3 linked regions of the Anolis sagrei genome follow. The protein of the gene in region 2 interacts with the protein of the main gene of each other region in a biochemical or structural test. Links are inferred from orthologs where the notes say so. Each region holds a gene or a part of one and is shown on either strand. Other genes may lie near its edges.

Evidence for each region. The genes of interacting proteins can lie anywhere in the genome.
Region 1: the proteins of ERBB2 (region 2) and BLK form a complex in vitro, tested with the Homo sapiens proteins (2 studies listed by BioGRID and IntAct, with this or other methods). The link is inferred for Anolis sagrei from reciprocal best matches to the Homo sapiens genes ERBB2 and BLK.
Region 3: the proteins of ERBB2 (region 2) and PTPN11 form a complex in vitro, tested with the Homo sapiens proteins (2 studies listed by BioGRID and IntAct, with this or other methods). The link is inferred for Anolis sagrei from reciprocal best matches to the Homo sapiens genes ERBB2 and PTPN11.

What each region holds. Positions count from the first base shown.
Region 1 is NC_090021.1:10,031,959-10,039,676, forward strand, and holds the start of BLK (tyrosine-protein kinase Blk), read left to right. Parts: upstream 1-4,702; 5' UTR 4,703-4,705; coding exon 4,706-4,828; intron 4,829-7,718. UniProt on the Homo sapiens protein: Non-receptor tyrosine kinase involved in B-lymphocyte development, differentiation and signaling. B-cell receptor (BCR) signaling requires a tight regulation of several protein tyrosine kinases and phosphatases, and associated coreceptors.
Region 2 is NC_090026.1:42,798,734-42,806,643, reverse strand, and holds the start of ERBB2 (receptor tyrosine-protein kinase erbB-2), read left to right. Parts: upstream 1-4,910; 5' UTR 4,911-5,163; coding exon 5,164-5,245; intron 5,246-7,910. UniProt on the Homo sapiens protein: Protein tyrosine kinase that is part of several cell surface receptor complexes, but that apparently needs a coreceptor for ligand binding. Essential component of a neuregulin-receptor complex, although neuregulins do not interact with it alone.
Region 3 is NC_090034.1:30,299,990-30,307,302, forward strand, and holds the start of PTPN11 (tyrosine-protein phosphatase non-receptor type 11), read right to left. Parts: upstream 3,017-7,313; 5' UTR 2,878-3,016; coding exon 2,864-2,877; intron 1-2,863. Other genes in the region: RPL6 (large ribosomal subunit protein eL6), read left to right, coding at 5,818-5,841. UniProt on the Homo sapiens protein: Acts downstream of various receptor and cytoplasmic protein tyrosine kinases to participate in the signal transduction from the cell surface to the nucleus. Positively regulates MAPK signal transduction pathway. Dephosphorylates GAB1, ARHGAP35 and EGFR.

The sequences.
Region 1 (7,718 bases), on a different chromosome or scaffold from region 2:
TGGAGTGCCTGTGGTGTCACTGTAATAAGGTCCTCCACTGTGCATGTGGCAGGCTCAGGTTGCATTGTAATAGGTGGTTTGTGGTTTGCTCTTCTCCACATTCGCATGTCATGGACTCCACTTTGTGGCCCCACATCTTAAGGTTTGACTCTGCACCTCGTAGTGCCAGAGCACAGTCTGTTCAGCACCTTACAAGTCATCCAGTCTTCTGTGTGCCCAGGAGGTAGTCTCTCATTCGGCATCAACTATGGATTGACCTTCCAGGTTTTAGCCTGCCACTTTTGGACTCTCGCTTGCTGAGGTGTTCCTGTGAGCATCTTTGTAGAAGAAGCTATTTCTTGATTTAAGGCATTGGTGTGCTGGCTGATATCCAAACAGGGGATGGGTTGGAGATGTCACTGCCTTGGTCCTTTCACTATTGGCTGCTACTTCCCGGTGGATGTCAGGTGGTGCAATACTGGCTAAACATATAATTTCTCCAATGGTGTTGGGCATAGGCATCCTGTGATAATGTGGCATGTCTCATTAAGAGCCACATCCACTGTTTTAACATGGTGAGATGTGTTCCACACTGGACATGCATACTCAGCAGCAGAGTAGCACAGCTCAAGGGCAGATGTCTTCACTGTGTCTGGTTGTGATCCTCAGGTTATGCCAGTCAGTTTTTGTATGATATTATTTATAGTGCCCACTTTTTGGTTGTTAGTCAAGCAGTGCTTCTTATAAGTCAGAGCACAGTCCAGGGTAACTCACAGATATTTAGGTGTGCTGCAATGCTCCAGTGGGATTCCTTCCCAGGTAATCCTCAGAGCTTGAAATGCTTGTCTGTTCTTAAATTGAAAAGCTCACATCTATGCTTTAGATGAATTAGGAATCATCTGGTTTTCCCTGTAATAGGAAATAAGAGCACCCAAAGCTTCAGAGAACTTCTGTTCAACAATTTCAAGGCTCCCTGCTTGGTCGGTGATGGCACCATCATCTGCATAGATGAAACTCTTTTGGCAGGGGGTGGTCATTTGTGTAAATATTAAACACCGAGGGAGCAAGCATGCTCCCCTGAGGCAGGCCATTCTTCTGTTTTTGTCATCTGCTTCTCTGGCCCTAGAACTCATCAAAAAGCTCCTGTTTTGTAGCAGATTTTCTATGAAGCAACGAGGGCAACGAGTCCTTGTAGAGTACTTCCTTATTCTTACGCACGCTGCTGGAAGGTTTTATGGTGTTGTAAATTAGTTAAATTAGTAATTTAAATTGGTTAAATTAGTTAAAGCAGTACCTAAATTTCCTACTTGACAGATGCAACTGTCTTTCTGGCTGCATAGATCAACAGCAAACTAGATTATTAATGATCGGGAGCTTACTCCGACCTGGACTGGCTTCAAACTCATGATCTCTCGGTCAGTAGTGATTTAATGCACTAACTAGCTGTGCCATATAAGCATTTCATATATATATGCATAAGCATGGTTTTTTTTAATTGTATCAGAAACTGCAAGTCGCTTCTGGTGTGAGAGAATTGGCCATTTGCAAGGACATTGCCCAGGGGACACCTGGATGTTTTGGTGTTTTACCATCCTTGTGGGAGGCTTCTCTCATGTCCCCGCATGAGGAGCTGGAGCTGACAGAGGGAGCTCATCCATACTCTCCCTGGGTTCGAACCTGCGACCTGTCCATCTTCAGTCCTACCAGTACAGGGGTTTAACCCACTGCGCCCCGGGGGCTCCTATAATCATGGTGATTTTCTGCAAAGATTCAAAGAATAGAGAATTTGCACTCTCTTTTCCTGCCTGTTTATAGTAAAGAGAGATATAGCAACTCTAATATGTGCATATGCAATCTGTTGCCCTGTATATTCAGCAGAAAAGTGGTCCGGTGCAATTGCTCTGAAATCGCATTGAGCATAGATTTGCAACTTTGCGAGTGCAGTATAAGATCTTGTCCCACAGATTTCTGGATTTATGAGTCTGCAAGACCCCTGAGCGCATGCTATAATGGTTTCCACAAGCTAAGGCCATCCCACCCTGAGAAAGGGAGTGACTGGCCATAAATTGGGCATTCTTTAACAAGGAAGGGCAATAAAAGGGGGAACAAACCCAGCTGTTTCAATTTGTCGGCACACTTTTCAGTTGACCGCAGGAATTAAGAAGGCAATTGGAACAAGAGGATGGGGAAGTGAAACATATTTAAAGATTGGATTGTCATTTCTCAGGCTTTGAGAGAGGGTGTTTGCAATGGAAAAGACAATTATTTCCCATTTAAATATGCAGCAGCGAAGGATGTTTTGTGCTCAAATAAGGTAGGAAGCGACAAATATTAGGAAAATTAGTTTTCTCAGTGGTAGTTGTTGGCTTCCATCTTCATCTCCTTCTGGACTTCATCACATCAGCTGTTATCTCATCACCTTCTCTTATCTGAGTTAAGAGTTTCTGTTTTTACCATATAGGTTAAATCACACTGAAGTTGGAACCAAAGGTCAGAACCAACGCAACCTTTAGTTTTCATCCAAATGCCTTGCAAAAGGTGCGGCCACAAATGAGACAGAAGCTCCGTCTGAGAGAGGGAAAAGTAGTGTGCATAGGACCACTCTTGGAAAATATTTAATCCTGTATTCTACTGGTCTAATTAAACCTATTCATTCAATGGGATGACCATAAGTCTTGATTCAGTTTTCAATAATTTAGCGATTTTTCCAGCAGTCACCAACCAACCCATCTGCATTGCCAGAAATACAGCTTAATGGTGTAACATTAGAAAATGTTGACCATTTCCGCTCCCTTGGCAGCCACCTCTCCACAAATGTCAACATTGATACTGAAATACAACATCGCCTGAGCTCTGTGAGTGCAGCATTTTTCCAAATTAAGCAGAGAGTGCGCTGGTACGGCTGTACCAGGAGCTCCAAGCTTATTTTCTTTCTGTTAAAGTTTGCAATCATAGGGCAGGGCTCCTGTCCATCATAATTAAGCTTTGGTTCCGCCCCTTGTTCTGGGCTCTGGGAGGGAAAGGAGCCATTTTTTGGCCAGTTTCACACAAGGTAGCTAAGCTATAGGACGTAGACCAGCTCTTCCCGTAGAAAAGTTTCCTTTCTCAAGAGCATCCAGGGAAAAGTAACGCCCGGGGATACAGAAACAGAAATTCCAGGAGAAAGTTCCCAGAAGCTCTGGCTGAGAGCTCACAGCCTCTCAGCCTCACAGCAACAGAGGGAAAACAGCCCTGAAGTTTCAAAGAATTCTCGGAGGGAGGACAGCATTACAGATCCACAGAACTCCAGCTGAAATATCTTCAAGCCTCGGCTGGTAGGTCTACTCGATACCCAGACGCATTTGGAATCGGTAGTAGGACCCACACCGATGAGGCATAGATAGAAAGCAGCCTGGGAGAGGTTAAAAGGGGGTTTTCCTACAGAGAAAGTTTAGTTAATTAAAGTCAGGTGCCAGTCCATTGAGGACTAGACTTAAAGTCTTGAAGTGTTGTTTGAACCTTTGAAGATTTGTTGTTTGTTCCATAATAAAGACTTTGTTGTATCATTAAAGACTCTAAAGACCATCACTTCAAAAAAAATCCCTAAGAATCTCTCTTTGAGGCGCCCCTGGCTTCGTGCTGGGCTTAAAGTATACGTCCTATAGAAAAGTACAGCTGTTACAGGCCCAGCGTGCGACAGAACAGAGAGTGTTTGAGGACTGGGACATCCGTAGGGATACCAAAGTGCTTCTTTTTAAAGCTATTGTCCTCCCAACCCTGCTATATGTCTGCGAAACGTGGACTATCTATAGACACTATATGCACTCCTGAAACGATTCCATCTGTGCTGCCTCCGGAAAATCCTGCAAATCTTTTGGGAAGACAGGCAGACACATGTCAGCGGGTTGGAAGAAGCAAAGACCACCAGCATTGAAGCGATGGTCTTCCGCCATCCACACCGCTGGACTGGCCTCGTTGTCCAGATGCCCGATCACCCAAAGCAGTTACTTTACTCCAAACTCAAGAATGGGAAATGGAATATTGGAGGACAGGAAAAGAGATTTAAAGATGGGCTCAACACCAACCTTAAAAACTCTGGCATAGACACCGAGAATTGGGAAGTGCTCTAGCTGGAGGTCAGCTGTGTCCAGCAGTGCTGTACGATTTGAAAAGGCATGACTGGAGGGCGAAAGAGAGAAATGTGCCAAGAGGAATGCACGTCAAGCCAACCCCGACCGGGACTGCCTTCCACCTGGAAACCAATGCCCTCACTGTGGGAGAACATGCAGGTTAAGGACAGGGCTCCACAGTCACCTATGTACTCACCGCCAGGACACCGAACTTTAAGGACAATCTTACTCAGACAACGAGGGATCGCCTAAGTAATTCAGCAAGTCAGCTGAGTAGGACCCAGCCCTTATTTTTTGGGGCGGACCAAGACGGTGATGAACAGAAGTCAATACAGGGAAGTCAAAAATAGCTGTGAACAGTTTGAAAATGGTAAACAGAATAGCAGCTTGTTCTAGTCCATTGAGGCTTTGTGGGCAAGTGTTATTTTCCACCAAAGTGGCCACAAGGCTAACATTAGCTCAGAAGGAACCTGGCGGCTGCTTTACAGGCCCCTGGACCCTGGAGAGCATCAGCCGTCCTCCCAGTTGGCTCTTCTGATCTTGTCGGCAGGAAACCACGAACTGACGCAGGCAAGAGGCTTTATTAGGGCATTTCGGTAGACAAGTGACTTTGTCAGATGAAAAAAGCCCTTATCAAGAGCTTAGAAGACTCCAAATGTTTGGTCTTCTTTGGAAGCTGTGGAGGGCTTCTGGGATTTCAAGGGAGATGTTTTGAACGCTGTCGCAAGGAAGACGCCAAGGTGAGAAATTGAACTTGGTGCAAACTTGCAAACCCATAGCATTGGCTCTTTCCAAATGTTGGGACCAAGGGTACATGTATAATGTAACATTAATGTAGTTTGACGCCACTTTGCCTGCCATGGCTCAATGCTGTGGAATGGATGGAGTTGCCATTTTACAAGGCTTTTAGCCTTCTGTGCTGAATAGCGCTAGTGTCTCACCAAACTACAACTCAGGCCGCTTCTACACTGCCACATACAATCCAGATTATCTGCTTTGAACTGGATTATGTGACATCTTAGACTCACATATTCCAGTTCAAAGCAGATAATGTGGATTGTATATGGCAGTGCAGAAGGGGCCTGAGTCCACACTGATAATCTGGATTATATGGCAATGTAGAGGGGGCCTGATGCAGTCATGCTGGCCACATGACCTTGGAGGTGTTTACGGACAACGCTGGCTCTTTGGCTTAGAAATGGAGATGAGCACCACACCCCAGAGTCAGACATGACTGGACTTGATGTCAGGGGACTACCTTTACCTACCTTTAGAGGGGGCCTCAAAAGATTACCTAGCACTCACCCATGACAGTCAAAGTGGTACCAAACTGCATTGACTCTACAGTGTAGATGCATCCCAAGACTAGACTTGAAAATAGATAATCAAATCCAGATTATCTGATTTGAACTGGATTAAACGGCAATGTAGACTCAGGTAGATAGTCTGCTTTGATAATCTGGATTATATGGCAGTGTAGAGGGGGTATCAAAAGATTACCTAGCACCGACCCATGGCAGTCAAAGTGGTATCAAACTGCATTAATTCTACAGTGTAGCTGTACCTCAAGACTAGACTTGATAATAGATAATCAGATCCAAATTATCTGATTTGAACTGGATTAAACGGCAATGTAGACTCAGGTAGATAGTCTGCTTTGATAATCTGGATTATATTCCAGTGTAGAGGGGGTATCAAAAGATTACCTAGCACCGACCCATGGCAGTCAAAGTGGTATCAAACTGCATTAACTCTACAGTGTAAATGCACCCCAAGACTAGACTTGAAAATAGATAATCAAATCCAGATTATCTGATTTGAACTGGATTAAACAGCAATGTAGACTCAGGTAGATAGTCTGCTTTGATAATCTGGATTATATGGCAGTGTAGAGGGGGTATCAAAAGATTACCTAGCACTGACCAATGGCAGTCAAAGTGGTATAAAACTGCATTAATTATACAGTGTAGATGCACCCCAAGACTAGACTTGATAATAGATAATCAAATCCAGATTATCTGATTTGAACTGGATTAAATGGCAGTGTAGACTCAGGTACATAGTCTGCTTTGATTTTAATCAATTTTAATCTATTACATTTGGCCCGGCCATTTTTAAAAATTGTTTATGTCACTATTGATTGTTTTTTGTTTATGTGATTTATATGATTTGTATTTTATTGATTGTTTATTGATGTTGTGTTTATTGATGTTTTGTTTGATGTACTTTGGGCTTGGCCTCATGTAAGCCACACCGAGTCCCTTGGGGAAATGGTAGCGAGGTACAAATAAAGATTATTATTATTATTATTAATTTTACAGTGTAGATGCACCCCAAGAATAGACCAGTTTTCAGAGATTTGGCGTTCTAGACGTTTTGATTTTATTTTCCAGCTGTAGAAAGGAGAATAACTATAACACCCAAAATGTGCCTTCAAATTACCTGTCACCTTTTCATAGAATCATAGAATCAAAGAGTTGGAAGAGACCTCATGGGCCATCCAGTCCAACCCCCTGCCAAGAAGCAGGAATACTGCATTCAAATCACCCCTGACAGATGGCCATCCAGCCTCTGTTTAAAAGCTTCCAAAGAAGGAGCCTCCACCACACTCCGGGGCAGAGAGTTCCACTGCTGAACGGCTCCCACAGTCAGGAAGTTCTTCCTCATGTTCAGATGGAATCTCCTTTCTTGTAGTTTGAAGCCATTGTTCCGCGTCCTAGTCTCCAAGGAAGCAGAACACAAGCTTGCTCCCTCCTCCCTGTGGCTTCCTCTCACATATTTATACATGGCTATCATGTCTCCTCTCAGCCTTCTCTTCTTCAGGCTAAACATGCAAAGTGGTTCCATGCGTTTGTGGTTTTGGTGGTTCCATACGTTTTATAGAATTATTTGTGCAAAGAAGATTCAGAATAGAACTGCTCCAGCTTTTCTCTGAAATATCGTCTACGGCACTTGTTATTCTGCAGCGATTGCCCATCCAAACGCTAACCATGCCTGGCCCTGCTTAACTTCCAAGATCTGATAGGATCTGGCTTGCCAAATATGTAGGCAAAGGAGCCACCATAGTTTGGTTGTCTGAGCATTGACTTACTTTGGAGCATTGCAGAACTATTGGATGATGTTGGGCAAATCTAACTCTCTCCAGAGAAAGGCAATGGCAAATCCTTTCTGAATAAATAATGCCCAGTAAAAGCTTTGCCATACTTTGGAAATCACTTGAAGGCACACAACAAAGACAACAACAGCAACAAACCTCAGGAAAAATCCCTTCCAGCAATGAAACATTTAAATTTTGTTGTTTTTGTTGAGTTTCTAACCTGATAAGCAAACCTATCATGTTTTCTTGGCATGCTTTATTCAGGGTGTGTGTGTGTGTTGTATTGCCTTCCACTGAGACTGGGGGACCTACCCATGGTCTCAATGGCTAAGCAGGGATTTGAACCTTAGTCTTCCAGGTTCCTAACCAAACACACTATACAATTCTGCCTCTCTACCATCTCATTGGGGAGACTGAACATTAATGGGGAGGCAATGCCCCATTTTGTTCTCCTGTAGTTAACTCCACGTGCCAAAGCGAATACAATTGAATTCCATTTCTATTTGGTTGGGCTAAAGATATAATCAATAAAG
Region 2 (7,910 bases):
CAAATTTGGTCCGGTGAATGAAAATACATCCTGTATATCAGATATTACATTATGATTCATAACAGTAGCAAAATTACAGTTTTGCTATGAAAATAATTTTATGGCTGGGGGTCATCACAACATGAGGAACTGTATTATGGGATTGCGGCAGTAGGAAGGTTGAGAAACATTGATATAGTGTTATCTAAAAAAAGTTGGAAAACGAGTAAAAATCAACTGACAATGAGTGTGTGTTTCATAGAATAGTCATAGTAGTTGTGTGTTCAATATGTTTTTATTAGTGCTGGAATTATTTATGTTGTAATAGTTTTATATCTATTATGAAGAAATGTTTTTCTGTATTGTATTATATTCTGAATAAAAACCAATAAAGAGAAAAGAAAGCTAACGGCATGTTTTGTGTTTCAGCTGCTTGAAACCTGGTATGTTTCCACCCCTGTTCCGAACAAGTACTATGGTAACATTTGTTGACTAAACAGTAATGTTTCCCCACTTCTTTCAGTTCCTCGGAAAACCACTTACGCCCATGTTTTGGCAATGTTCAAGTATATCCACTTGATTGAAGTAACCAAGATGAAACATTTGTTTAAGCAGTGAATCAACTGAAGCCGAAGTTATTGTCAAGTCAGATTCAACTTATACTGACCTTATGGATGCAGGATGTCAATGAGTTCAGTGACCTATAGCCCTGCTCAGGTTCCTCATACTCAGGGATTTGGCTTCCGTGATTGACTCAATCCATCCTCATTGTGGTTTTCCTCATTTCTCATTACACTATGTAACAAAATTTGAAAAAAATTCTGTTCCTGGTTTGAAAGTGTTATTTCCTGTTTAATTGTGCGGTATTTACCTTGAAAGTAGTTGTTATATTCCAGAAATCATAGAATCATAGAATCAAAGAGTTGGAAGAGACCTCGTGGGCCATCCAGTCCAAACCCCTGCCAAGAAGCAGGAATATTGCATTCAAATCACCCCTGACAGATGGCCATCCAGCCTCTGTTTAAAAGCTTCCAAAGAAGGAGCCTCCACTACACTCCGGGGCAGAGAGTTCCACTGCTGAACGGCCCTCACAGTCAGGAAGTTCTTCCTCTTGTTCAGAGGGAATCTCCTCTCTTGTAGTTTGAAGCCATTGTTCCGCGTCCTAGTTTCCAAGGAAGCAGAAAACAAGCTTGCTCCCTCCTCCCTGTTGCTTCCTCTCACATATTTATACATGGCTATCATATCTCCTCTCAACCTTCTCTTCTTCAGGCTAAACATGCCCAGCTCCTTAAGCCGCTCCTCATAGGGCTTGTTCTCCAGACCCTTGATCATTTGAGTCGCCCTCCTCTGGACACATTCCAGCTTGTCAATATCTCTCTTGAATTGTGGTGCCCAGAATTGGACACAATATTCCAGGTGTGGTCTAACCAAAGCGGAATAGAGGGGTAGCATGACTTCCCTAGATCTAGACCAGGGGTCCTCAAACTTTTTAAACTGAGGGCCAGGTCACAGTCCCTCAAACTGTTGGAGGGCCGAGTTATAATTTGAAGAAACATTAATGAATTCCTATGGATACTGCATATATCTTATTTGTAGTGCAAAAAACACTTTAAAACAATACAATAATTAAAATAAATAACAATTTTAGCAAATATAAATTTATTAGTATTTCAATGGGAAGTGTGGGCCTGCTTTTGGCTGATGAAATAGGGTTGTTGCTGTTGTGGTTGTTGTTGTGTGCTTTTAAGTCATTTCAGACTTAGTTTGATCCTGAGCGAGGGCCGGGTAAATAACCTCTGAGGGCCGTATCTGGCCCCCGGGCCTTAGTTTGAGGACCCCTGATCTAGACACTATGCTCCTATTGATGCAGGCCAAAATCCCATTGGCTTTTTTTTGCGCCACATCACATTGTTGGCTCATATTTAACTTATTGTCCACAAAGACTCCAAGATCTTTTTCACACGTACTGCTCTCAAGCCAGGCACCCCCCATTCTGTATCTTTGCATTTCGTTTTTTCTGCCTAAGTGGAGTATCTTGCATTTGCCCCTGTTGAACTTCATTTTGTTAGTTTTGGCCCATCTCTCTAATCTGTCAAGATCGTTTTGAATCCTGCTCCTGTCCTCTGGAGTATTGGCTATCCCTCCCAATTTGGTGTCGTCTGCAAACTTGATGATCCTGCCTTCTAGCCCTTCATCTAAGTCATTAATAAAGATGTTGAACAGGACCCGGCCTAGGACGGAACCCTGCGGCACTCCACTTGTCACTTCTTTCCAGGATGAAGAGGAAGAATTGGTGAGCACCCTCTGGGTTCGCCCATTTAACCAATTACAGATCCACCTCACCGTAGTTTTGCCTAGCCCACATTGGACTAGTTTCCTTGCCAGAAGGTCATGGGGGACCTTGTCGAAGGCCTTACTGAAATCCAGGTACGCTACATCCACGGCATTCCCCGCATCTACCCAGCTTGTAACTCTATCGAAAAAAGAGATCAGATTAGTCTGGCATGACTTGTTTTTGATAAATCCATGTTGACTATTAGCGATGACCGCATTTGATTCTAAGTGTTTGCAGACCACTTCCTTAATAATCTTTTCCAGAATCTTGCCTGGTATCAACGTGAGGCTGACCGGACGGTAGTTGTTTGGGTCATCCTTTTTTCCCTTCTTGAAGATTGGGACCACATTGGCCCTCCTCCAAATGTGTGTTTTGTGGCTGACACAAGCTATGTTGAATTGGTTGAAACTTAATTAGCAATTAAGATCCTCTAAACTGGTGTCCAGCGGGATTTTGATTTTATTATATTGGTACCAGCAGGCGTGATATATTAGAAGGTATAATACCAAGATATAATACCATTGAAAAATTATAGCAAAATGTACTGCAGGACTTAATAAACTTTCCCCATGTTTTTATGATAGAACCAATGATAGGAAATTACATTTATAACCTAGGAACAAAAATTGTGTTAGCATATTTATTTATTTACAAATTTTATATGCCGCCTTTCTCACCCCGAAGGGGGCTCAGAGCGGCTTACAAGGCATATATTATATACATACAATATATTATATTATTAGCACAGTACAATATCAGCATTAAACATTGCTATATTGCACCATACCACTATATCGTAATATTATTAGGAATATTACATCTATATAAATAAAAATGTAATGTTCATTTGTGGGATTAACAGAACTCAAAAACCACTGGATGAATTGACACCAAATTTGGACACAAGACACCTAACAACCCAATGTATGTCTTTCACTAAAAAAATGATTTTGTCATTTGGGAGCTGTAGTTGCTGGGATTGATAGTTCACCTACAATTAAAGAGCATTCTGAACCCCACCAATGATGAAATTGAACCAAACTTGGCACACAGTTCTCCCATGACCAACAGAAAATACTGGAAAGGTTTGGTGGGCAGTGCCCTTTGGTTTTGGAGTTGTAGTTCACCTACATCCAGAGATCACTATGGACTCAAACAATGATGGACCTGGACCAAACTCTATACAAACACTCAATATGTCCGAATGCGAACTCTGGTAGAGTTTGGGGTAAATAAAATCTTGACATTCGGGAGTTGTAGTTGCTGGGATTTATAGTTCACCTACAATCAAAGAGCATTCTGAACCCCACCAACGATAGAATTGGGCCAGACCTCCCACAGAACCCCCATGTGGGCCACAGCAACGCGTGGCAGGGGACGGCTAGTCTGGGATAAACAGGAAACCTGTGATCATAACTCAGATAACTAAGGGCCCTTTTTCACATCTTTATATCCCAGAATAGAAAGGCAGAAAATCCCACAATAACTGGGTTATCCGAGTCCACAGTCAGATAATGTGGGATTTCCTGCCTTGATGTTCTGGGATATAAGGTTGTGCAGAAGGGCCTATAGCAGTGTTTCTCAACCTGGGGGTTGGGACCCCTGGAGGGGTCACAAGGGGGTGTCAGAGGGGTCACCAAAGACCACAAGAAAACACAGTATTTTCTGTTGGCCATGGAGGTTCTGTGTGGGAAGTTTGGCCCAATTCAGTCGTTGGCAGGGTTCAAAATGCTCTTTGATTATACGTGAACTATATAAATCTATTTTCCCTAAACCCCACTAGTGTTTACATTTGGGCATATTGAGAATTCGTGCCAAGTTTGGCCCAGATCCATCATTGTTTGAATCCACAGTGCTCTCTGGATGTAGATGAACTACAACTCCCAAAACTCAAGGTTCAATTCCCACCAAACTCTTCTAGTATTTTCTCTTGGTCATGGGTGTTCTGTGTACCAAGATAGGTTCAATTCCATCATTGGTGGAGTTCAGAATGCTCTTTGATTGTAGGTGAACTAGAAATCCCTGCAACTACAACTCCCACAGGGCAAAATCAATACCCTCCTCCAATCCCACCAGTATTTAAATTTGGGTATATTGGGTCTTTGTGCCAAGTTTGGTCCAGTGTATGAAAATACATCCTGCATATCAGATATTTACATTACTATTCATAACAGCAGCAAAATGACAGCTATGAAGTAGCAATGAAACTAATTTTATGGTTGGGGGTCACCACAACATGAGGAAGTGGATTAAGGGGTCATGGCATTAGGAAGGTTGAGAACCACTGGCCTATAGTTATCTGAGGGTCCCTCCAGACAGGCCCTATATTCCAGGATATGATCCCAGGTTTTCTGCTTTAAACTGGATTATATGAGTCCACACTGCCAGAGAAAACCTGGGATGAGATCCTGAGATATAGATCCTGCACACTCAGATATTGTGGGATTTCTTGCCTTGGGATATAGGGCTGTGTGGAAGAGTCCTGAGTCGTGGCAGTGAAAGCAGTGCTCAACTTGGCCTCTTCCAAAGTGTGTCCCAAAGTGGAATGAATGGCTTTGCAGCGTGAGCCGGATTCCTCCTCGGGGGCGCGCCGCGCGCGTTCCCGACGCTCAAGGTTGGAGGAGAAAGAAGGTGGTGGCTTCTCTCTTTCTCTCCTTTCCCTTCGCGGAAGTGGGAAGCAAAAAGTCGGAGTTGTGAAGTTGGGATCGGGAAGGAAAGTGGGACGAGCAAGCTCTTGCAAAGGCAAACCAACCGATCGGGCTGGATTCGGAGGAAAGGATTTGGAAAAGAAGAAGGAACTCCTCCAGCCAAGTTTGGAAGGATGAGCCGGGCTTGGTCATGACAAAACAATGGGGCCCTTTCTCAGCCCCGGTTGGCTTGGCTTGGGGTTCCTCCTGGGATCGGTTCTGCCCAGGGTTTGGGCCACCGAAGGTAAGTCCAAGTTGCATTGTTTGGGTTCCTACAAACAGACACAAGCAAAAAAATGAGATTTGAGGACTGTGGAAAGAGGGCAGGGACAATTTGGCTAGATCTACATTGCATTGTATGTTCAATATAGACCATGTATGGGCAAACTTGAGCCCTGCAGGTGCTTTGGACTTCAACTCCCATCATTCCTCACAGCCTCAGGCCCTTTCCTTTCCCCCCACAGCCGCTTAATGCAGTTTGATACTCCTTTAATTGCATTTGCTCAGTGTTATGAAGTGCTGGGAATTGTAGTTTGGGGAGGGACCAGCACTTTAGTACACAAAGCTAAAGATCCTGTAAAACTTTAATACTGTCCCAATTAATGCAGTTTGATACTCTTTTAATTGCATTTGCTCAATGTTATGGAGTGCTGGGAATTGTAGTTTGGGGGAGGGACCAGCACTTTGGTACAGAAAGCTAAAGATCCTGTAAAACTTTAATAAGGTCCCAACTGATGCAGTTTGATACTCCTTTAATTGCATTTGCGCGATGTTATGGAGTGCTGGGAATTGTAGTTTGTAGCTTAAGTACTAATTTGATACTCCTAATTTGATACTCCTTTAATTGCATTTGCCCAATGTTATGGAGTGCTGGGAATTGTAGTTTGGGGAGGGACCAGCACTTTAGTAAAGAAAGTTAAAGATCATGTAAAACCTTAATACTGTCCCAATTAATGCAGTTTGATACTCCATTAATTGCATTTGCTCAATGTTATGGAGTGCTGGGAATTGTAGTTTGGGGAGGGACCAGCACTTTGGTACAGAAAGCTAAAGATCATGTAAAACCTTAATACTGTCCCAATTAATGCAGTTTGATACTCCTTTAATTGCATTTGCTCAGTGTTATGGAGTGCTGGGAATTGTAGTTTGTAGCATAAGTACTGTCCCAATTGATCTAGTTTGATACTCCTTTAATTGCATTTGCTCAATGTTATGGAGTGCTGGGAATTGTAGTTTGTAGCTTAAGTACTGTCCCAATTGATCTAATTTGATACTCCTTTAATTGCATTTGCTCAATGTTATGGAGTGCTGGGAATTGTAGTTTGGGGAGGGGGCCAGCATTTTGGTATAGAAAGCTAAAGATCTTGTAAAACTTCAGTACTGTCCCAATTGATCTAGTTTGATACTCCTTTAATTGCATTTGCTCAATGTTATGGAGTACTGTCCCAATTGATCTAGTTTGATACTCCTTTAATTGCATTTGCTCAATGTTATGGAGTGCTGGGAATTGTAGTTTGGGGAGGGACCAGCACAAAGCTAAAGACCTTGTAAAACTTCAGTACTGTCCCAATTAATCTAGTTTGATACTCCTTTCATTGCATTTGCTCAATGTTATGGAGTTCTGGGAATTGTAGTTTGTAGTTTAAGTACTGTCCCAATTAATCTAGTTTGATACTCCTTTAATTGCATTTACTCAATGCTATGGAATGCTGGGAATCGTAGTTTGTAGCTTAAGCGGCTGAGAGGGAAAGAGAAGGGGCCTGAGGCTGTTAGGAATGGTGGGAGTTGAAGTCCAAAGCACCTGGAGGGCCCCAAGTTTCCTAATGCCTGGTCAAGACCTTGCAAAACTCCCCAACTTCCTAGGATTCCCTTGCATTATGCCCTAGTTGCTAAAGTGGTGTCAAAGCACATTTGTTCCCTATCTGCATGTCAAAACAGTCCAGGAGTCAGGAGAGAGAAAGCAAAGCTGTTGTGCAAGTGGTTCCCATCCGCTGGGGGATTGGAAATCTTGAGAAATGGGGTCTCAGATCACTTTCCAATTGGATTGGCTGAGATTGCAGTTCAGAAGTAAACAAAACCCTGCTGGGCTCTGCCTTGGTTAATGAATGCCTTTGGTTGGAGATAGTGTGCCTCCTTCCTAGAAAGAAAGCTCTTGCAAGGTCCCCAATCAATAAATCAATCAATTGCCTTGGCCAACCCCGCCCTTACAATCTGTATTGCTGCAATCCACAGGGAACAAGCCTTATCTGGTTTCGCTTCGGTTTAGGGACGTGTGGAGATAGTAGCATACTCCAGAGATAAGTTTCACACTCATAGGTTTGGCTGCCTTTGCACTGTGTTTGTCTTGAGCTGGAGGAGTTGGGTGCTCCTTCTTTTGAAGAAAAAGTTTGCATCTACACTATAGAAGGCATGTGGTGTGACACCACTTTCACTGCTATGGAATGCTTTAGTGTGTGTTCCTCCAAGTCTTTTCTGATTTATTTATGATGACCTTCACCTCCATGTATGCATTATCCCTTTGTTCATTACATGCAACACTAAAGGCTCAGGGTTTATACTGACCCAATTAATGGATTTTGATACTCCTGCAATTGAATTTGCGCAATGTTATGGAATGCTGGGAATTGTAGTTTGGGGAGGGACCAGCATTTTGGTACAGAAAGCTAAAGACCTTGTAAAACTTCAATACTTTACCAATTAATGCATTTTGATACTCCTGTAAATTGCATTTGCTCAATGTTATGGAATGCTGGGAATTGTAGTTTGGGGCTGGACCAGCATTTTGGTATAGAATACTAAACACCTTGCAAAATTTCAATACTGTTCCAATTAATGAATTATGATACTCCTGTAATTGAATTTGCTCAATGTTATGGAATGCTGGGAATTGTAGTTTGGGGAGGGACCAG
Region 3 (7,313 bases), on a different chromosome or scaffold from region 2:
TTTACTGTCTTAATTCTGATGTTTTTTTTTTTTATTCTGGTAGCCAGATTTTGTTCATTTTCATGTTTTCTTCCTTTCTGTTGAAATTGTCCACATGGATTTCAATGGCTTCTCTGTGCAGCCTGACATGAAGTCTAAAATTTCCATATTCTCAAACAATATACTGTGTTCAGGTTGGTTCATCAAGTGCTCTGCTATGGCTGACTTCTCTGGTTGAATTAGTCTGAAGTGCCTTTCATGTTCCTTGATTCGTGTTTGGGCAATGCTGCGTTAAGTGTTCTCCCTGTAGACTTGACCACAGCTGCATGGTATGCGGAAGACTCCTGCAGAGGTGAGAGGATCCCACCTGTTCAGGAAACAATCAGGGCCAGCTAACACCTCCCAACAAAGGATTCCCCATGCAAGAAGCAACCAGGTTTTGAAGCTGCAAGGCTATTCAATGTCAATCAAGGCGGCCAATTGCAACATTCACACTTGCTTCAAACAGACGAGGGTTCTTTCTCCCACCCTGGACATTATTCTACAGACACACACACACACACACACACACACACATATATATATGCATACACATACACGCTCCATTTGCCTCACTCACCAGCAGCAGAACCTCTGAAGATGCCATTAGCCACAGGTGCAGGCGAAACATCAGAAAATAATGCTAGTGGAACATGGAATGCTGTGATTTCTAAAAGTCAGCATGGATTTCTCAAAAGCAAGTCATGCCAAGCTAGTCTTACCTCTTTCTTTTTTTTTCTTTTTTTTTTTGATAGTTACAAGCTTGGTAGATGCAGGGAAAGCTGTGGACTTAGCATACCTTGATTGCAGGAAGGCCTTTGACAAAATCCCCCATGACCTTCTTGCAAACAGACTAGTCCAATGAGGGCTAGCCAAAACTATGGTTAGGTAGATCCGGAATAAGTCAAGCAACTGAACCCAAACGTGATTCTCCCCAATGGTTCATCTTCTTCATCCTGGAAAGAAGTGACTATTTGGGTGCCATAAAGAAGGTTCTGTTCTGGGCCCAGTTCTGTTCAACATCTTTATTAATTACTTGGGATGAAGGTTTAGAGGGTAGGCTGATCAAGTTTGGAGATGGGACCAAATTGGGAGGGGGAGCTAATACTACAGAAAAAAGGATCAGGAAGCAAAAGTACCTTAACAGATTAGAAAGCGGATTGGCCAAAACTAACAAAATGCATTTCAACAAGGACAAATGTAGGCTACCACACTTAGGAAAAGATTCAGGATGGGTGATGCCTGGCTCAACAATAGTCCAGGTGAGAAAGATCTTGGAGTCTTCGTGGACAACAAGTTGAACATGAGACAAGAGTGTGATGCAGCAGCTCAAAAAGCCAATGGGATTTTGGGCTACATCCAAAGGAGTCTAGTGTCTAGATCGAGGGAAGTCATGGTGCCTTTGTATTCAGCTTTGGTCAGACCTCTTTACCTGGAATACTGTGTCCAATTCTGGGCACCACAGTTCAAAGCAGATACTGACTCTAAGCTGGAAGGTGTCCAGAGGAAGAGGGCGAGTAAAAGGATCAAAGGTCTGGAGACCATGAATAAACTCTTTGAGGGGCGTCTTAAAGAACTGGGTCTGTTTAGCCTGCAGAAGAAGAGAAGGTTGAGAGGAGATGTGAGAGCTATGTTTACATACATGAAGGGGTGTCATAGGAAAAAGGAGTAGGCCTGTTTTGAGACTGGGACTCAGAGCAATGGGTTCAAACGACAGGAAAGGAGATCCCACTTGAACATTAGGAAGAACTTCCTGACTGTAAGAAGAGCTGTTCAGCAGTGGAACTCTCTGCCTTGGAGTTCAGTGGAAGCTCCTTTCTTGGAGGCTTTTAAACAGAGCCATCTGTTTAAAAGCCATCTGTCAGGGATACTTGGTCACTGTAAATTATCTTGTATCTTAATGCTTTTTATTCATTAGATTTATACTTGTAAGTATGTCTGAAGTGTTATATTATGTATATTTCTTAATTTTGTAAAGTTCTTAATTTTGGTTATGTTTGGGTTGTCACTATAAGTTTATATTGATGTTGCCCGAGTCCCTAAGCCGCCCCGAGTCCCTTTTTGGAAGAAGATGGTGGCGGGATATAAATGAAGTTATTATTATTTGTTTTCAATTTGATTTGTTGCCTGTTTGTTTTTTTGGCATTGAATGTTGGCCAGCTTTGTTAGAAACCGCCCTGAGTCCCCTCAGACAGATAGGGCGGGTTACAAATGAAGTTATTATTATTATTATTATTATTATTATCACTTTGTGTGTTTCCTGCATGGCAAAATGGGGTTGGACTGGATGGCCCATGAGGTCTCTTCCAACTCTAGGATTCTATTTCTCTCTTTCCTTCTCTGGCCTTTCAACAGAGGCTGGGTGGCCATCTGTCGGGGCTGCTTTGATGGTGCTTTTCCTGCCTGGCAGAAGGGGGTTGGAATAGATGGCCCACGAGGACTCTTCCAACTCTACTATTCTAGGATTCTCTCTCTCTCCTTCTCTGGAGGCCTTTCAACAGAGGATGGGTGGCCATCTGTCGGGGCTGTTTTGATGGTGCTTATCCTGCATGGCAGGGGGTTGGACTAGATGGCCCATGGGGTCTTTTCCAACTCTATTATAATTCTATGATTCTCTGGCCACATAGCCCGGAAAACTCACAGCAAGCCAGTGATTCCGGCCATGAAAGTTTTGGACAACACATATGATTGCTGTCCTTTCTTCTTCTCTTTGCAGGGCGGGGGGGGGGGGGGGGCACAGGAAGAGCCAAAGGGGCGGAGCTTGGTGCTACCCCCCCTTCTGCTATCCACCCCCCTCCCTCCCTCCCTCCCTCCCTCCCTCCCTCCCTCCCTCCGCTGGGCCTACCTCCGGGAGGTCATTTTCCCCGCCAGCGTTGTCCTCCGAGGGGGGCCCGGGGGCCTCGCAGGGGGAAAGGCGACGCCCACGAGCCGGGCCAGCCGCGGGAGCCGAGCGGGAGCCAGCCACACACAGGCCAGCGGCGCTGCACCCGCCTCCGCGCGTCATCCCCCGGCGACGCCGCCTCAAGCCCCGCCCACCCCCACCCCCTCCCCCACCCCAACATCCGGGACACTCCCGCCAAACTCAGCCTCTGACTTCGTTGGTTAGGGGGAAAACAGACCCGTGTGCTTTATGTTCTCGTTGGTGTCAGAAGCGAATCGAGAATACAGTGATAATGTATTTAAAAACCACAGACAAAGTTAGAAACTTGGCATTGTCCCAAATGTCCTTTGACCAGGGGCTGCCCACTTGGAGTGCCTCTGGTGTCGCTGTGAGAAGGTCCTCCATTGTGTATGTGGCAGGGCTCAAGCTGCATTGTAGTAGATAGTCTGGATTTGCTCTCCTCCACACTCGCATGTCGTGGACTCCACTTTAGCCCCATTTCTTCAGCTTGGCTCTTATTGTTATATTTATTTACACCCCACTTTATCTCCCCAAAGGGGACTCAAAAGTGGCTTGACATAAAAGCATTGGTATCCAATTGCAAATATACAAACATTAAAACAGAATTAAACACAAACAGCTAAACATTAAAAAAACCAAGATTATGGCAACAAGAATGATTGACAACTGGAAAATAGAGGGAGAAAATGTGGAGGCCGTGACAGAGTTTGTATTCCTAGGCGCAAAGATTACTGCAGATGCAGACTGTGGCCAGGAAATCAGGAGACGCTTACTTCTTGGGAGGAGAGCAATGTCCAGTCTCGATAAAATAGTAAAGAGTAGAGACATCAGACTGGCAACAAAGATCCGCCTAGTCAAAGCCATGGTATTCCCTGTCGTAACCTACGGATGTGAGAGCTGGACCTTAGGGACGGCTGAGCGAAGGAAGATCGATGCTTTTGAGCTGTGGTGTTGGAGGAAAGTTCTGAGAGTGCCTTGGACTGTGAGAAGATCCAACCAGTCCATCCTCCAGGAAATAAAGCCCGGCTGCTCACTGGAGGGAAGGATACTAGAGACAAAGTTGAAGTACTTTGGCCACATCATGAGGAGACAGCAAAGCCTGGAGAAGACAATGATGCTGGGGAAAGTCGAAGGCAAAAGGAAGAGGGGCCGACCAAGGGCAAGATGGATGGATGGCATCCTTGAAGTGACTGGACTGACCTTGAAGGAGCTGGGGGTGGTGACGGCCGACAGGGAGCTCTGGCGTGGACTGGTCCATGAGGTCACGAAGAGTCGGAGACGACTGAACGAATGAACAACAAAAAAAACAAACAGCATTCAAAATTTCAGATCAAAACCATCAAAACATTCAAAGTTAAAAATCATTGCACTTCTTTAAGGTTCTTGATTGGTCTTGATAGGAAATGCCTGCATTTAATGTTTTTATAGCTCAATTGTGTCTCAAACTGGCAGTGAGATACAGAGTTTCATCTATGCTGACGATCGTGCCATCACCACTCAAGCAGGGAGCTTTGAAATGGTTGAACAGAAGCTCTCTGAAGCTCTAGGTGCTCTTACTGTCTATTACAGCGAAATCTGGCTGATTCCTAATCCATCCGAAACGCAGGCATGTGCTTTTCACCTTAAGAAATCCCACTAGAGCATTGCAGCACGCACAAATACCTGGGAGTTACCCTGGACCAAGCTCTGATTCAAAAGAAGCACTGCTTGACTATCAAGCAAAAAGTGGGCTCTAGAAATAATATCATAGGAAAGCTGACTGGCACAACCTGGGGATCACAACCAGACACAGTGAAGACATCTGCCTTTGCAATTCGCTACTCTGCTGCTGAATACGCATGCTCAGCGTGGAATAAATCTCATCACATTAAAACAGTAGATGTGGCACTGGAGAAATTATACTGCTTAGCTGGTGTTGCACCACCTGACATCTGTCGGGAAGTAGCAGCCATTAATGAAAGGACATCTCTGGCCTGTCCTCTGTTCAGACATCAGCCAGCAAGCCAACACCTTATATCAAGAAACAGCTTCCTAAGATCTACTCACAGGAATACCTCAGCAAGCAATAGTCCAAAAGTGGCAGGCTAAAACCTGCAACTTGAATCATTGGTTGAGACTGGGTGAGAGACTCCCTCCTGGGCACATAGAAAACTAGACGACTTGGAAAGTGCTGAACAGGCTGCGCTCTGGCACTACGAGATGCAGCAACAATCTTAAGAAACGGGGCCACAAAGTGGAACCCACAACATGCGAGTGCGGAGGAGAACAAACCACACTGACTATAATGCAGTCTAAGGGCCCTTCCAGGCAGGCCCTATATCCCAGGATCTGATCCCAGGTTTTCTGTTTATCCCAAATGATCTGGCAGTTCGGACTCACGTAATCCGATTTAAGGCAGAAAACCTGGGTTGAGATCCTGGGATATAGGGCCTATCTGGAAGGGCACTTTGTCTGTAGTATTTTACACATTATAAGTGTATTCTCAATTAGCTTCTGACACCTTTAATAACATCAATCGGCTATCGTCCAGAGCGCCATCTGTCGGACGTTCGAGGCTTTCCGGCCAGCGCGCTGACGTCACGTCACTTACTCCCTTTAGTGCCGAGTTCCCGGATGTTGCCTCCTTTTTTGCTCCATCTCGGAAGGTAAGGATGGCGGCGGCGCGGCTCTTCTCCGTTGAATCTCGGTGTTGTTATCCGCGGCCATCCTCCACACAGGAGCGCCGCCCGGGAGGCGGGGAGGCACCGAGAGCTTCGGGGATGTCTAGCGGGAGGCGAGGGGTTGCTATTTTGGGAGTGGAGAGCGGGAAGGCGTCGCCCTGCAGGATAGGCCGCGCTCGGAGCCATTGAGTTTGTCTTTTTAGGGACAGTTTTGCCTTACGGCAGGCATGGTCAAACATGGGCCCATGCCTGCTTTACGGGGTAAACCTGCATTTGAACCTCATCTCTTGCAAAGCTTCCATTTGAACTTCTATATGATAGGCCTGCATTATTTTCGTGTCTTTTAGCCTTAGGCCTGTGTCTTGGAATCCTATATATCTTAGGTGGATGTATCTTCAGATACATGATGCTGGTCATTGACCATGCTTGTAAGCTGCCTGTAGAATCCCATGCAGTTGATCTGCTCAAGCTCCATGCAGGGCAATGGTGGGAGTTGTAGTTTGGGGAGCTGCCAGCCCTTGAAGCCCTGGCCAAGCTACAACTCCCAGCCTTCCCTAGCATTGCACATATAGATGTATATGTAGATTTTATATATGTGTGTGTGTGTGTGTGTGTATATATATATATATAAAATAAAATGTATCATGTAATATGTAATATATATTACATGTAATACACATTCTACATTGTAACATATATGTATATAACATATGTAGATATATAACATATATAATAAATAATACTTTATACAATGCAATGTTACATGTGTATGTAATATATGTAGGTGTGTGTGTATATATTATGTAGCCGCTTTACCTCTCCTTGGAGAGAGAAATAGGGTATAGATAAATACACATATATTTGTATTGCATTGTATATGTTATATTTTTATATACCAGGTCCATGATGTCAGAGATTTGGCTGCAGAAAGAGCCAGACTGGCCCATGGAGTTGGTTGTGCAATGTGGGACCAAGGTTGAAGGGTAACTTTGGGCCAGGCTGCTTTGAATTTTGGACTAAACGTTGCTGTCTTTTGGAGACAGGATACTGATTGTTTACTGCCTGGAGTCCTTAAATGGGGAGAAAAGCAGGATTAAAATGCAATACATCGATATTGAATGGGGCTTATGGAAAATTTTGATTGTACTTTGTTTAGATTTGGCTTCCAACTCCAGCTAAATAAAGACATCTACATTTTGGGGACAAAAAAACCCCCAAGTGCTTCTGGCTCAAGCATTTTGGGAAAGGGGCATTTAAGATGTACTACTTTGAATACATAGGACTAATATTTTCCAAGATAAGGATGCTAGGTTGAACTCTCTAGCATAGATATTTGCAATATACACATTTCCCCCTGCCTCAAACTGACTTGAAGCCTTCAGTCCACAATTGTGTAAGTTCAAAAATGCTTCCCAGGCTGGATCTATGCTGCCCTATATATATTCCAGGATATGATCCCAGGTTATTTGGCAGTGTAGACTCATGATCCATTTGAAAGCAGATAATCTGGGATTGGATGCTGTAGGGCAATGGGGGGAGGGGAGGGGCAGTCCATCCATAGTCACTTTGGGTTTTGTCCCTGTGCATCATTGCGAATTATGTCCTTTAGAAAGTTTCTATGATCAAATCTTCAGCTGTCAGCGATTCTATCTTTTTCCAATATTGTGCATATATACCATTCTTGCTCCAGTTGATGTGTACTGTAATGTTTGGTCACATCTGTATCCAAATTC